Linked DNA regions of Anolis sagrei. The protein of the gene in region 1 binds, or shares a complex with, the protein of each later gene. Links are inferred from orthologs where the notes say so. Each region holds a gene or a part of one and is shown in the gene's direction. Other genes may lie near its edges.

Region 1 (7,977 bases):
TGAGCACCAGCCCCCTGAGTCAGACACAACTGGGCTTAATGTCAGGGGAAAACCTTTTCCTTTACCAAGTACCCATTTCTGTCATTAGCTTTTGAGTCAGCACCATATTAAGTGTCAGATGAAACCCCTTAGTCACAGGGCACCTGCGTTATTTTTACTGATGGTAAGGCAGAGGTGTAGTTATGGGGAACATGGGGCTATAGCCCCCCAAAGTTGAAATTTCCTCTCCAAATTTCTGGCATTGAAAACTGAACATTATAAATCATTCACACCTAGAACTCTTCTATTTGTTGAATTTGCATTGCCTTTCTCTGGAAGCCTAAACCATTGGCTCTGCCATACCAGTGGAATATGTCTCACAAGAACATCTCTGAAATTGAACTATGCTGTTCTTTTAGTTGTGTTAGTCCATTTAGTAGCAAGAACACCATGCTTAAACACCAATAAATGTATGACATAAACTTTTGAAGGCTTGAGTATAAATTGGGCTACTTATCTTTCATAATGAACAACAGGAACACAATCTTTTATAAGCTGTTGGAACCCACATCATGTTTTTGGCACTTCGTGCCCGGAAAACGAATTTATGATTTTAAGAGGGGGCCAGTGTGTGCAAGGAACCTAGACAATTCCAAGAAATTGTGAAATGTGTTTTTTGTTTTAAGACTGGATGTTGCTATTGCAGAGGAAGAATGAATAAATCTAAGATGCAATCAGTAATTCTGTAGCTTCCGTCATTATGCAACAACAAAGTGTATAAATCTTACAGATATTGTGTAAGATTTTTGTAATTTGGCACAGCAGTTGTGAAGGTGAAGAATGGTTTTCTCAGCAAGTTTGATTCAAAAAAAGGTTGAAAATGTGAAAAGAGAAATGATAGTGGATTTAATAAAGTGCTGATATTAGGTCTTAACATCAGAAAAATCCACTAGCTTTTGATAAAATACAACTTAGCCAGCATCCCTGATCACATCTATAAACAACAACATTTATTTATGGCAGGCATAGGCAAACTTCAGCCCTCCAGGTGTTTTGGACATCAACTCCCAAAAATCCCAGCCAGCTTCCCGGCTGTTAGGAATTATGGGAGTTTAAATCCAAAACACCTAGAGGGCCAAAGTTTGCCTATGCCTGATTTATGGGTTTTGTGGCTGAGTGAGGATTCAGACTTTTGTCTCTAGAGCAGTGGAACTTAATCTCTAAGCCGCACATCACCAGTGGACTGCAAGGAAGAAAATCTGGTCCACGAGCCTCCTTCCTCTTTATTTGATTTCTGCTCCTTTTGTGCCACCTGCCACTCCTTCCCTGTCACTGACCAGTCCCTCCTCCTCGGATAGACCACATCAGCTCTAGATTATTAAATATGGTTTTCTGTGGGAGAGCAGATGGTGACTACTGGATGGCATATGTTCTGTTTCAGAAACTAGAGCTGATTTGGTCTATCCAATGCAATTTTCTGAATTGGCACCCCAATTAACCAAACAGAATCTAAAGTTGACCAAAAAATTGATATGTAGCCCTTTGGTACTAATGTTGGAGAGTGGTCCCTGGTCAAAATGGTCCCTGGTCTAGTGGACCCTGCTTAAAAAAAAAGATTGGAACCACTGCTCTAGAGTCATAGTACAATCGTCAAACTGCTACGTCACACTGGCTCTTGGATTGGGGAAAACATGTACCCATTAGGAAGGAGAGAATATAACACAAGTTTCTTAGACCAGCCGCCCTGGCTACCTGCAAGAGTAACTAGGTTCCTTCTAGACTGCTCTGCACTGTAGGAAAATAAACCCACTTGTATTCTCTCTCAATACAAGTCAACAAGCCTTCACTTTGACTACCCAAGCCAAAGTACCCCGAAGCACTTGCCCTCTATTATTCCCTATCAACCTAATTCTTAACTCACTCAGCAACTCTCTTCTCCCTGCCTGAAAATCCTAATCCTATCTCTCTCAGATCAAATCCCTCTTCTCTCTTTTAGATCAAAACCATTTCTCTCTAAGATCAAATCATTCTCCTCTCTCTGACAGAAAGTACAGCCTTTTTTACACACTCCTTCAACTCCTCCCCTAGGGGTCTGAGCCAATCAGGAGTTAGCTGACTCCTCCCCTTGCCTCTCTGCCTTTCCCAACATGTCAGCTATCCTTAGCACCCTCCCAACAGGGAGGCCTGCTCACTGACTCCCAGGCTGCGGCCTACAAAGCAAAGGTATGAGTTCACTACACCCTGCCTTCCTGCAATACCACTGTACCATACGTTTTGACTTTTATTTTGGAGCAGTTGGGCAATTTAAGTTATGAAAAACAAAAAAGGGGGCAAATATATCTATGAAATATAAAATAAACAGAAAAGGGGCAAATTGGGAATAATGAGGGAGGAGAGGGGGAAAGCTGGAGAATCCCACCCTCTGATGTCACTTTACAGACAGGACCTATTACACCAAGACAGATGAAAGGAACATTGTGAGACTGGGAACAATTGATGAGTTTTACCTATCAATAGCTAGGGATGGGATAATCAGAGAGGAAGAAGTCTGGCAGCAAGATGCACAAAATGTTGTAAATTAGTGACTGTCACCAAATCCGATGGTTCAACTGCAGTGCCAGTTTACCTGCCTTGTGTAATGAAATATTTAACTTCTCAAGGTAGTGTATACACAGTTCTGCAATGTTATCTCCACATGTACAGAACAATAGAGGCCAGATCTACACTGCCATATATATAATCCAGTTCAGTGCAGTCAATTTGCATTCAGAAACTGGATTATATGGCACTGTAGATGAGGCCAGAGTCTCAGTCACTGAACTTTGTCACTGAACCTTGATTTCCATCCATAAGGAGATCTTGGCCATTGATTTGTTGTACTTTCACAATCAAATGAAGGTTTATTCTAATTAATGTATTTGTTTACAATTTGAGATGGCTATTGGCGACCTGGTGTTATGAGTTTTCATAATTTAGCTTTAGGCTGTTTTTAGTGTTATAGGCCACAAAAAAAAATGAAATGCAAGCGTACAGAATGGAGGGATGCCTAACTCGACAGCAGTACATGTGAAAAAAGATCTTGGAGTCCTCGTGGACAACAAGTTAAACATGAGCCAACAATGTGATTAATATAGAAGAAAAAGCCAATGGGATTTTGGCCTGCATAATTAGGAGTATAGTGTCTAGATTCAGGGAAGTCATGCTACCTCTGTATTCTGCCTTGATCAGACCACACCTGGAATACTGTGTCCAATTATGAGCACCACAAGTGACAAGCTGGAAGGTGTCTACAGGAAGGTGACTGTTGGGAATCAGCCTGTGTTTGTGTTCCAGGATCATGATGCTTCTGATGTGGGCAATGCTGTGAGCAATGATGAGGTAAATGGTGGTGCCGAGGCTGAGGTGCAAGATGGAGATGGTTTGGTCAATGATTTTCTTGCAGACAATGACAGAGAAGCTCCAGTGCAAAGGGCAGTTTCTCATGAGAATATTCCTGCTGGATATATGGATGATGGTTTACTCCCTCGCTCTGTGAGCTCTCAAGATTTGGGTTTGGAAAACAATCTGACACCTGGAAAATTTAATGAGCAGCCAGAAAGGGAGTTGAAAAACAGGTGGCTGGAGTTCATCCAGGACCGACAACAAACTCAAGGTTTACGTTGCTCCGAAATGCTTCCTCAGATAAGAGCCAAGGGTGGGGGGAAACGAAACCAGTTTCTGGGTTTGGGGATATAAGGTTTGCTTCAAAGGAAAACCTGTTAGATCAGGCATCATTTGGAAATCAAGTTCATGTGCCGTGGAAATCCTGTTCAAGGGGTCTTGTTCCTGTGGAAACTTCTAGCCTTTTGGTGTTTGGATTGTCTTTGCATCCTGTTGATTCCTATCTGGATAAATACTGCCTTGGATTGCTTTTATATCTTTTGTTGACATTGCTTTAAGTTACTGCATTTTACTGACCTTTTACTTTCTGGAACTTTCCTATTTTCTTACAAGCATTTCTTTCTACTGGCTATTTTACTAAGCTTCAATAAAAAGGATTTATTTCTTCACTCAACGTGTGGTGTGTTTTAAAATCAGAGGGCCTTTTCCTGTCCTGGAGTGCAACAGCCACTAAAATAATAAAGGGTCTGGAGAACAAACCCCATGAGGAGCACCTTAAAGAGCTGGGCATGTTTAGCATGCAGAAGAGAAGGCTGGAAGGAGACATGTTGCCATGTGAGGGAAAGTCATAGAGAGGAGGAAGGAGGCTTGTTTTCTGCTGCCCTGGAGACTAGGATGCAGAAGAACAATGGCTTCAAACTACAGGAAAGGAGATTCCACCTAAACATTAGGAAGAACTTCCTGACTGTGAGAGCTGTTCAGCAGTGGAACTCTCTGTCCCGGAGTGTGGTTGAGGCTTTTAAACAGAGACTGGATGGCCATCTGTCGAGGGTGCTTTGAATGCAGTTTTCCTGCTTCTTGGCAACGGGTTGGACTGGATGGCCCACGAGGTCTCTTCCAACTCTGTGATTCTATGACACTGTATCTGATCTTCCATTTAGGATCTTAATTGTGATTTGAACCCTGTTCTCTCTCTCTCTCTCTGAAGGGGCCATCTACAATGTAGAATCAATTCACCACTTTTAACTGCCATAGCTCAAGGCTCTGGATTAATGGGAATTTCAGTTTTATAAGAGTTTTAGCCTTTTCTGCTAAAACTGTAATTTGCCTCGCCAAACTACAACTCCCATCATTCCATAGCATTGAGCAATGACAGTTAATCTAGTGTCAAACTGCATTAACTTTGTAGATGCACTCTAAATCAAGCAATGTCTGCTTTTCCAGACTGGCTAGGGAATTCTGGGCATTGTAATCCAAAACACTAACTCTTCTCCATTCTGCTTTTAGCTATGTTTGTGTTATGGCTTTGGTTCCCCCCCCCCCCTCCTCTGTCTCTCTGTACCCCTCCTCCCACTGTAGCCACTGGAACAGAGAACTTTGGTCACAAAGTTCTTGCTGAAATATCAGTACACTATTTGGACACAGCATTTTAGTTTCATCATGGCTTCCCGTCACTTCAACATTCTGCTTTTAGGTCTTTTGCTGGTGTATCCGATCTCACAGGCTGCAGGTATGACTCAGAAAACTGTTCTAATATATAATGCTGAACTGTTATTTTGTTGTAGTTTGGTTGTCTTTCTTTTGGAAATTGTAAAGCCAGTCCAAAAAACCTTGAAATCTGAAATTTCTAAACATCAGCCAAATAACTTCATTCCTAAGCCAGCTATTTTTATGACATTGATACATTTATAGTTTTTAGATGTCTGCTGTTAAGGTTAAAGTTAAGGGCCTCTTGGGTTCTAAACTATTAGAGCAGAAGAGCCCCAAAACAATATCAATGCAAGCTGTTGCTGAAACATCTCTATCTTACTCAGTTTTCAGCATATTGGTATTTATTTTTAATTGTGCTTGCAGGCAAGACTTAGTACCCCTGAAGCTTATATAAACATATTATATGTTTACTATATTGTGCCTTTTTCTTATTTTTGCCTAATAAGATTCATTGATAAAGCAGAATGATAAGCACAACAACACACTTAGATGTAACTGTGTCATCCCTCCCACCAATAACTTAAGATTAAAGGAGCTGAAATTTGTCCTAATCGATTAGGGGATTATAAATTGATCAAACTGTTGACTGATAAAGTTTGCCATCACAATCTCTAACTTACTCTAATTACTAATTTAGTTAATACTCACTTAGAAATATTTGTAAATGTCTTAAAAGGTATTTCTTCAACTCTGATCACAAAATGTGAGTGCCATCAGTAAGACAAAAATTAAATTAAGTATTTTTGTTCAATCTAAAATAAAATTTACTTAGTATATACTGTCAACAGAGCAAAACAAATGTGACTTTAGAAGATCGAATAGTTGTTTAAACAGTTTTAAAGTTTTGAAGTGTGTATTCTCTGTGAAGTGCTTATTTACGGAAGAAGAAAAAACAGATCTTGTGAGATATATTCATGTCCCACTTTATGCTTGCGGCTCATAGACAATATGAAAGTTATCAAGAAAGTAAGGTTACAAGGCATGTAGCTCTCGCAGGGATTTTTCGTGGAGGAAGTTGGTATCACTGCCATGTAGTGGGAAGCCAGCGGAAGCGAATGAGAAGTGCCAGTCATCAGCAGCTCATCGACTGAACTTGTGGTGAAGGTTAGAGTTGATAATAGAGAGCACTGTAATAAGATGAACAGTAGTTAAACTATGTCCCTGCAATGCTGAAAATGAGGAGTAACCTTGTTGATATTTACCATCATGAACAAAGTATAAGGAATTCAGTGCAGCTGTACTTTTTACTTTCCTCAGCTATGGAGATGTTCCAGATAATTGTATGATAAATGCACCTAAAACATCATCACACTAGAGAATGAACCCACTTAAAATCCGTTTTCTGCCTCCTGCAGAATTGTGGGGTTTCTAGTTTAGTGAGACTGTTAAAGGCGCCTCCCTAAACTACAAACCACAGAATTCTGAGGAGGCAGAAACGGGTTTTAAAGTGGATTCATTCTCTAGTGTGATGAAGTACCTAGTCAATGATTTCTGTTTTTAAGTCTTCTTAAAGCACGAGGAAGCAAGCAATGTACTACAAAGGAACAAGAGAGCCAATTCCTTCTTTGAAGAATTCAAATCAGGGTCACTGGAAAGAGAATGCCTTGAAGAGAAGTGTTCATTCGAAGAAGCAAGGGAAATATTCAAGGATGACAAAAGGACAGTAAGTAACAGGGCATTAGGGAGGGAAATTGTGTTTTTTCTACAGTTGTGATTTTTTAAAGGTTGTACTAATTTCCTTCACATGTATCTTGGTGGGATGGTTTTCAATCCAAATGAATATTTAATGACAGAAGCCTGTGTCTGTAAGATGAACTGATACGGTTCAGAAAATTAAATTTCTTGTGTTTGTGAGAAGAAAGCTAAATTGGAAAGGATTCAGAAGAGATGGAGAGGTGGTGTTTGACCAGTAAGTGGAATCAGTGAAGATAAACTGAAGGTACATGGTTTTAGTCACTGCTTAAGAGTATTGTGTTATAATGTGTTACTTTAGTAACTAGTTAATTTTTGAATGATTACTTGTTGCCTCTAATAACTGGCAGAATCCCTGTTGGAGTGAAATTACAACATTACAGGCGGCAACAAGGGAGGCTTCCTGTGTTGCATTGGGATTAATGGGGGAAAGCTGGGCAGCGGACGCTTCCCCTCATGGGGTGGGATCTAGGGTAAGTTGGAGGATGCAAGGCGTGGGGCAATGGGTTCTCCACATCCCTTTTTGGGCACTGCCAGATTTGCCATGATCTGTGGTGATTCCGAAGGCATGTATGATGAGGTCCTAAGTGTATTCGGATGCAGTCTGAGCATCTTTCTTGTGAGTTTATTTATTATTTATTATTTGCATCATTTCTATCCTGTCCATTTCAGCCTGAAGGCGTACAGACCGGCAACAATTAGATGCCATCCACACACACACACACACAAACCAACAAAAGTTGGATGAGCATTTGTCAGGGATGCTTTGTGATGCTTATAACAGTTGGGTTCCTGGTTGTCTAGATGGGTCTGCAGGCCATTCAAATACCATGACTGTAGGAATAATAATTGAAAAATACTTATTTGTCGGGCTTCATGTTCATATTTTTGTTTGCAAATGTCTTGATTTTACATGCTGTATGCCACTTTGGGAGAAAAGCAGGATATAAATAAATAAATAAATAAATTATCCCTAGTTTTAAATCTATGCAAGAGAAGGTGAAATTAAATCATCACCCTCACTATCATCATCATCTGCCTTTTTTCCTTGCCCGGGACTTAAGTCAATTTACAAAAGTTAAAGATTTGGTTTTAAATCTACTGAAGTTTTTAAAAATTATGAACAAAGTTGCTGATAACATTGTTTTGTTCTCTCCCCCCACCCTGCCCTCTGCCCTCTTTTGCTCAGATGCAATTCTGGACACACTACACAGG
Region 2 (7,871 bases), about 55 Mb from region 1:
TCTGCTAAATTGTGGGTTTGGGGGCTGAGTGTATCTAGCTTCCCAGCCGGCCAAATGAGACACAGATGGGATAAATGAAAAATCAGAGGTTTGTTCTCAAAGGTTAGAGAGGATGTCAGTGGAGAGAGTACTCCAAAGAACTGACTTACCACATCTGCAAATATAGAACATTTTTATGTAATGTGACAGCTATTTAAGATTCACGCAAGCGCCTGATTGGTCCTGAAACTATCCAGCTAGCATCCGCTTCCCGGTTGGTCAGGGATTTCCTCTGACATCATTGTTGATTGGCTTTTGTTGTAGTGGGAAACTCAATAAACTGTCATTGGATTATTTTGCAGTGTCTGTCCATTTATTAATCTGCCCTGGAGAGGGGCGCAACTGCAAAGGAATGCAGTGTGTCTAATGATAATGGTCTGGGATGGGTCCCCATATCTTCAGCTCCGGTGTGGGCAATTGTATTAGGATTGATAGAAAATAGTGTGCTTAAAGGTGTTGGCCAAGTCAATGTCTTTCCATAGGAGTCTGATACAGAGACCTGGGAAAGGGAGTGTTCCCAGGCTAGCCCAGATCATATCATGTAAAACAGGCAAAGGGAACCTAAAGGTTCTGGGACAAGGGCATTGTGTGTCCCCCTCCCATCCATCCCAGTTCATTGCGTGAGGATTATAATTTCCTCTGGGTGAGGGCGAGGTGAGGTACCATTTGGAGGGATTTCCAGGAAATTTTATATAAAAGTTACTATAGGGCCGTAAGAAATAACCATTTGGCTAGTTATACTTTCCCAATGGAGCCATGTCTCATACTTCATACTTTTGAGGTCTATTTTTCAATAACACACAGATATACAGATCATGCTCTTAAAATCATAATCTATATGCAACATTCACTTTTCAGGTGGGGCTTTCGCCCTGAAATACCTCCTGCTCATCTTGAAATACTGGGGAATGATGACCAGGCCTACAGAATAGCGAACTATATATATGATGGAAAAAAAGCACGATCCCTCTAGCTGCATTAAAATCATGCCAACATCCCTAATCTCAGGAGGTAGCAAAGGTGGACCAAAAATGATTATTTATTTATCAGTTCTGAATCTGAACTGGCTCAAGTATTTACAACTCCCCAGAGTGCAGGGGACCAGTGTAGATCTGCCCATGGCAAAAGATATGGATTCTTATACAAACCAATACAAGTATGTTTTTGTTTAACTTGTGTTCAAGTGTTGAGTATCTTCACCATGTTGCATAGGAGTCCCCTTGTGTCGGCAGGACAGAAGGCCAAGAGATCGGAGGTTCGAATCCGGAGAGAGTGCAAGTGAGCTCCCTCTGTCAGCTCCAGCTCCACATGCAGGGACATGAGAGAAGCCTCCCACGATGATGATAAAACATCAAAACATCTGGGCATCCCCTGGGCAACGTCCTTGTAGACAGCCAATTCTCTCACACCAGAAGTGATTTGCAATTTCTCAAGTCACTCCTGACACAGAAAAAAAAAACATGTTGTGTATCTTATGTATATCAAGTAATAACAATGCCAATTAAATCCCTTTCAATACCAGGGTGTAAAACAATAAAATTGTGCAAAAAGTCAAAGGAAGGTGAATACTTCTATAAGGCAATAGTTCCAAAATGTCAGATTGGCTGTCCTTTCTTGGATTTTAAAAGGTTGTCCTTCAAACGTGAAATAATTCAGCCAGGGGAATAATGCTGCACATAAATATGTATACTGGAGAACAAAATTAAGTTGTTTTATGTCTTCATTAGCAAATATTACAAGGTCTATATCAATACTAGAACTCTCTCTCTCTGTGTGTGTGTGTGTGTGTGTGTAAAATCATCTTCAGAGAAGGCTATCTGTCCTCCTAAAACACCACCTTGCAATGTTTATATCTTAATGGAAGATATTGGGGAAAAAACTTTTCTAAAAAGTGAATAGTTTTGTATGTCAGAATGGAAATCTAAATCTCTGGAGTTTTGTCTTGATATGTCTGTCTGCAGTGCAATTGCGTTCCTTAATGAATGCTCAGGGCTCCCTTTTCTAATTTTTGAATTGAGTAAAATGAATTTGCAATTGTTAGTCATTGGAGAGAATAGTTAACGCGCAGCCCCCCTACTGTTTATGTCTTATGCAAACAGTGTCTTCTTAACAATGCCCATTGCAGCTAATTTGCAACTACAGAACTCAAAAATATTGTCTTGTAAAGTTTTAATAGAGCCCCATGCAACTCAATCATCCATTATTGGCGGAGTTTCTCCCGGGACGATTAGTTGGAGGAAGCTGGTGAACTCTGAAGTAGGAAAATCTCAGATGGAAAGCAGATTAATTATCTATCAAGAGATTGGGATCGGAGGAATGGGCAACTCTCCTGACTCAACTTTGAGCAACCTGTTTTTCTTTGTAGCAAGATATTCCTTTGCCTGGAATTATCTCATTTAAAGTTTTGTTGGAGACTTCTCTCTAACGAGACTATAGTTCCTATTCAAAGTTCATTCAGGTAGCAGTGAAGGATGAACTTTCCACTTGTAAAAGCGCTCTTCAAATTCAGATGGTGCTTTCGACATCATCTTAATAGGTCTCATGGTATTACTAGGTTTTTTTTTTTTGGTTTTTATTGGCCAGGCTGTTAATTTATTTTCTTTATCTACTGATACAAATGCCTAAGTTTCCACAAAGAGATCCACTTTCATCTCCAAAAGAATAAAATTGAAAATCCGTTGGAAATAGCAACCTTCTTCAAGCCTCCACTAGTTATTTGTAATGTATATAATTGCTTACTGTATTGTATTTGTGTGTGTTGATATGCAATTTTACTGTAACTCTTTGTTGTGGGAGGGGCTGCAGACCATGTGATCAGAACTGGGATTGTTCAGGACTTTTAGAATTGTATGCTTTAGACTTCAGTAGGAACAGTATGCTTAGAGACTCCATTGGGCTTCCTGACTAGACAGAGACTCTTAGACTCTCAGAACAGAGAGATGTTCTGGACTATGAACTATTGATTCTAAGAAGGATGCCCTGTGTTACCTACATAGAGAAGCTACTTCAAAACTACTTGCAACTGGATTGATATGCAAAGTACCTGTACACTGAATACATGAAGTTTGTGAGTAAACCAACTGTGTTACTTTTAAAGAACTCTGTATAGAGCATGATTTAAAGACAAATATATTTTAAGGGACAGTAGATGTTTTTTGAGTAACTAAAAGGAACATTTCTGAAACTATGCTGAATATACAGATGTGTTTTGTGCATTGACATATATTTGTCCCTAACAGTTCAAAGACATACCTAGGTATATCAGTTTAACAGCTGAGAGCCTATCTGTGGAAGTGGGCACCCCAGCCACACACATACACAGGGGCGCCTCTGCACATACATAAGTATTTTCACCTAGGGCTGCCTCTGCACATACATATGTATTTTCACTTTTATCTGTGGAAGTGGGCACCCCAGCCACACACATACATATGTATTCCCAACCTTCCTAATGCTGTGACCCCTTAATGCAGTTCCTCATGTTGTGGTGACCCCAATCATAAAATTATTTTCGTTGGTACTTCATAACTGTAATCTTGCTACTGTTATTGTAATGTAAATATCTGATATGCAGGATATGTTTTCATTCACTGGACCAAATTAGGCACAAATACCCGATATGTCCAAATTTGAATACTGGTGGGGTTGGGGGGGGGAGGTTGATTTTGTCATTTGGGAGTTGTGGTTTCTGGGATTTATAGTTCACCTACAATTAAAGAGCATTCTAAACTCCACCAATGGTGGAATTGAACCAAAGTTGGCACACAGAACTTCCATGATCAACAGAAAATACAGGAAGGGTTTGGAGGGCACTGACCATGTGTTTTGGAGTTGTAGTTCACCTGCATCTAGAGAGCACTGTTGACTCAAAGAATGATGACTCTGGACCAAACTTGGCACAAATACTCAATATGCCCAAATGTGAACATGGGTGGACTTTTGGGGAAATAGACCTTGACATTTTGGAGTTGTAGTTGCTGGGACTTATAGTTTACCTACAATCAAAGAGCATTCTGAACTCCAGGAAATGATGGAATTGAACCAAACTTGGCACACAGAACTCCCATAAGAAAATACTATGTTTTCTGATGTTGTTGGTCCCTCTGACACGCCCTCGCGACCCTCCCAAGGGTCCCAACCCTCCGATTGATAAACGCTGCTATAGAAGATAGATAGATAGATGTATATGTATTCACCTTGTTTTTAAATCCTATTGTAGCATGCCACTGTTAGCTGCCATGTATCCCTATGGGGAGAAAGGCGGGATTAAAATAAATAAATAAAACAAATATACAAAATCGCTGAAAAATCCTGGTAATTCACTTCTTATCACTTAATTTATATTTGTGCTTATTTTCAATTGATACCATAAGTTCCTGCATTTGTTTTTCTCCTTTAATGGATCTTGCAAAGTTCAAATGTAATATTTCCCTGCAAATATAATAACAATGAATAAATAATAATAACAACAATCTGTATTCTCAGGACCAATATCTGTGGTTGCCTTGCCTTTTTTTCCCTTCCTCGAATTTTATTTTATTATGCTACTGTTTTTTTTAGTTTACTTTCTTTTTGTTTCTAAGCTTTTCCATGTCAATCAAAAGTATTACAAAAACAAATCAGAATATGGGATTGGCTAGAAGTTATCAGAGCCTAGCTGGAAGGATTATTGGGAATCCCTTCCAATGCTGTGATTCTCTGTATGGGAGGAGCTGTTGCGTTGATTGGTAACAAACTACAATGCCCATAGAGCAATCTGAAAAATGCTGGGACCTGTGCGCATGCGCAACATCACAAGAGGGTGGCGCTAGTGGAATGCTAAAGCCTGTCTTTTATCAATGAGCCCTCCGAATGCATGCAGGAGAGTCTACTTAGAGTTCCCGCGCATGCGCCGTGTTGCACTCGTCGCTATGGGGCAGCTCACTGCCGGGCTGGTGCTACAGGTGGCTGCTTTGTCTTTGTTGCTCTTTTGTTGGGAGGTGAAATCCACAGGTGAGTGCAGGATATGTAAGGCCGACCTAATGCTAGTTTCCAGTGGGAGGTTGCACGGAATGCAATTCCTCCGTTGCTCTGAATTGTTACCACTTTGCCTTCCAAAAATACTAGAATATCCAAACTGCATCTTACAGACTCTGTGTTGGTGTGGGATCTGTTATCTACGCTTGCAGTTTCCCAGTCCAGTCCTGGCTAGACTCATTCATGCCTTCAAAACCAGAACCTCTTTGAGTGCATCTACACTGTAGGATCAATGCAGTTTGGCACCACTTTTAACTGCTCTGGCTCAGTGCTATGGATCCTGAGAGCTGTAGTTTTGACAAGGTTTACTTTTCGGGCTGTGGAACCCTGGGATTTGTAGTTTGGTGAGGCAGGAGCACTATTTGGCAGAGAAGGCTGGAGATCTTGTAAAACTACAAGTCATGAGAGTTGTACAAGTTTGCTTTCTGCCCCAAAGTTGCGCAGAAACATTTAGGACAGTGTTTCTCAACCTGGGGGTCGGGGGATTGTGAGGGGATTTCAGAGGTCACCAAAGACCATCAGAAAACACATTTCTGATGGTTTTGGAATCCATTTGGGTTCACAGTGCTCTGTAGATGTAGGTGAACTACACCTCCCCCCAATCACTGTCAATTCATCCCAAATCCCTCCAGTATTTTCTGTTGGTCATGAGTGGTCTCCGCGTGGCCCAATTCTATCATTGGTGCAGTTCAGAATGCTTTTCGATTGTAGGTGAACTATCAATCCCAACAATTACAACTCCCAAATGTCAAGGTCTGTTTTGTCCAAGCTCGACCAGTGTTCATATTTGGGCATATTGAGTATTCATGCCAGGTTTGGTCCAGATCTATCATTGTTTGAGTCCTCAGTGCTGTCTGGATGTAGGTGAACGACAACTTCAAAACTCCAAAACAAACCCTTCCAGTATTTTCTGTTGGTCATGAAAGTTCTGTGTGGTTCAATTCCATCATTGGTGGAGTTAAGAATGCTCTTTCGATTGTAGGTGAACTATAAATCCCAGCAACTACAGTTCTCAAATGACAAAATCATTATCACTCCCCCCCCCCCCCCCATCCCACCAGTATTCAAATTTGGGCATATTGGGTATTTGTGCCAAATTTGGTCCAGTGAATGAAAATACATCCTGCATATCAGATATTTATTTACATTACAGTTCATAGCAGTAGCAAAATTACAGTTATGAGGTAGCAACGAAAATAATGGTTGGGGGTCACCACAACATAAGAAACTGTATTAAGGGGTCGCGACATTAGGGAGGTTGAAAACCACTGATTTAGGATGTCAAAATATTAATATCCTATCTTTCTATATTTCATAGAAGGAAATACGGTCAGATTTTTAGGCTCTTCCTGAAGGCTGCCAGGGTGGGCTCTTACCTAAACTCTCTGGGTGCCTAAAAACAACACATAAAATAAACACACAGTACAATACAAAAAAGTAAAACCAATATCACATAAAAACAACAATTTAAAACTCAGAAAAACACCCAATAACGTATAGTGATGACTGCCATAAGACATGGCCAAATCCTAAACAAGACAAGGGAATGGGATAAGTGCAAATTGTAGCTAAGGAACAAGGGCATGGGATGAAAGTGCAGTGCCGTGTCTCCAGGCAAGAAGCAGACAGGCTTTGAAGCTGCAAGGCCATTCAGTGCTAATCAAGATGGCCAACTGCTACATTCACTTTTGCCTCCAACAGACAAGAGTTCTTTCTCCCACCCTCAACATTCCACAGATCTATAAACCCCACTTGCCTTGTTTCCAACAGACCTCACCTCACAACCTCTGAGGATTCCTGCCATAGATGTGGGCAAAACGTCAGGAGAGAATGCTTCTAGAGCATGGCCATACAGCCCAGAAAACTCACAGTAACCCAAACTGGTTTGGATTCCATGGCAATCTATATGATTGTAAAGGTGTTGGATGTTTACCTATGTGCTGCATGTAAATGCTGTAACCCGCTATGAGTCCCCTAGGGGAGAAGGACAGAATATAAATAAAGTGTATTATTATTATTATTATTATTATTATTATTATTATTGGGATCACATAGTCCTGAGCCATGGCAGTTAAAGTGGTGTCAAATTGCATTGAGTCTACAGTACAGATGTACCCCAAGTCTTTCTCCTAACTGCTGTGTTTAGTTCTCCAACTGCTTCCTGCTAGCACAGGCATGGGCAAACTTCAGCCCTCCTGGTGTTTTGGACTTCAACTACCACAGTTCCTAACAGCCTCAGGTCCTTTCTATTCCCCCTCAGCTTCTGTTAGGTTTTGTGGGATTTGAAATCCAAACACCTGGAGGGCTGAAGTTAGCCCATGCCAAGTTAGCATCTGCGTCAAGAAATACTATTTTTGTTCCTCAAACAAGTTGAAACTAAAACACTCAGCTATTGGATTCTGTAGCCTCTCCATGTGTCAATTGGGAGGGAGGAAGGGAGGGATTGTTTGAGAACATCCTATTTCCTTGCTTTTTCAGTCTACTTTTTCTTGCTTGGGAAAAAAAGATAGGGACACATTATAGTGGTGGACTAGGACTCTGGAGACCAGAGTTCAAATCCCCATTTGGGTGTGAAACCCACTGGGCGAACTTAGGAACGTCACACTGTCTAAACCTCAGAATTTGGAAACTGCAAAGCTCTTCTGAACAAATCATTCCAAGAAAACCTCTTGATAGGTTTGCCATGGATTGGAAGCAACTTTAAGGCACACAAGAATACGAAACGGCAGTCTAGACCAGACATGGGCAAACTTTGGCCCTCCAGGTGTTTTGGACTTCAACTCCCACAATTCCTAACAGCCTCAGGCCCCTTCCTT

What was found. Proteins that work in one complex are often made in the same cells at the same time.
Region 2: the proteins of F7 (region 1) and POGLUT1 are in contact, whole or in part, in a crystal structure (PDB 5L0S), measured with the Homo sapiens proteins. The link is inferred for Anolis sagrei from reciprocal best matches to the Homo sapiens genes F7 and POGLUT1. Residues at the interface, in NP_000122.1 of Homo sapiens: Asp108, Gln109, Cys110, Ala111, Ser112, Ser113, Pro114, Cys115, Gln116, Asn117, Gly118, Gly119, Cys121, Gln126, Ser127, Tyr128, Arg139, Asn140; in NP_689518.1 of Homo sapiens: Met103, Phe104, Pro105, Ser106, Arg107, Arg132, Asp133, Pro171, Ala172, Trp174, Pro178, Thr179, Thr214, Asn239, Gln240, Ala241, Val274.

What each region holds. Positions count from the first base shown.
Region 1 is NC_090023.1:108,697,269-108,705,245, reverse strand, and holds the start of F7 (coagulation factor VII), read left to right. Parts: upstream 1-4,974; 5' UTR 4,975-5,019; coding exon 5,020-5,089; intron 5,090-6,572; coding exon 6,573-6,733; intron 6,734-7,951; coding exon 7,952-7,976; intron 7,977-7,977. UniProt on the Homo sapiens protein: Initiates the extrinsic pathway of blood coagulation. Serine protease that circulates in the blood in a zymogen form. Factor VII is converted to factor VIIa by factor Xa, factor XIIa, factor IXa, or thrombin by minor proteolysis.
Region 2 is NC_090023.1:53,208,684-53,216,554, reverse strand, and holds the start of POGLUT1 (protein O-glucosyltransferase 1), read left to right. Parts: upstream 1-4,857; 5' UTR 4,858-4,877; coding exon 4,878-5,031; intron 5,032-7,871. UniProt on the Homo sapiens protein: Dual specificity glycosyltransferase that catalyzes the transfer of glucose and xylose from UDP-glucose and UDP-xylose, respectively, to a serine residue found in the consensus sequence of C-X-S-X-P-C.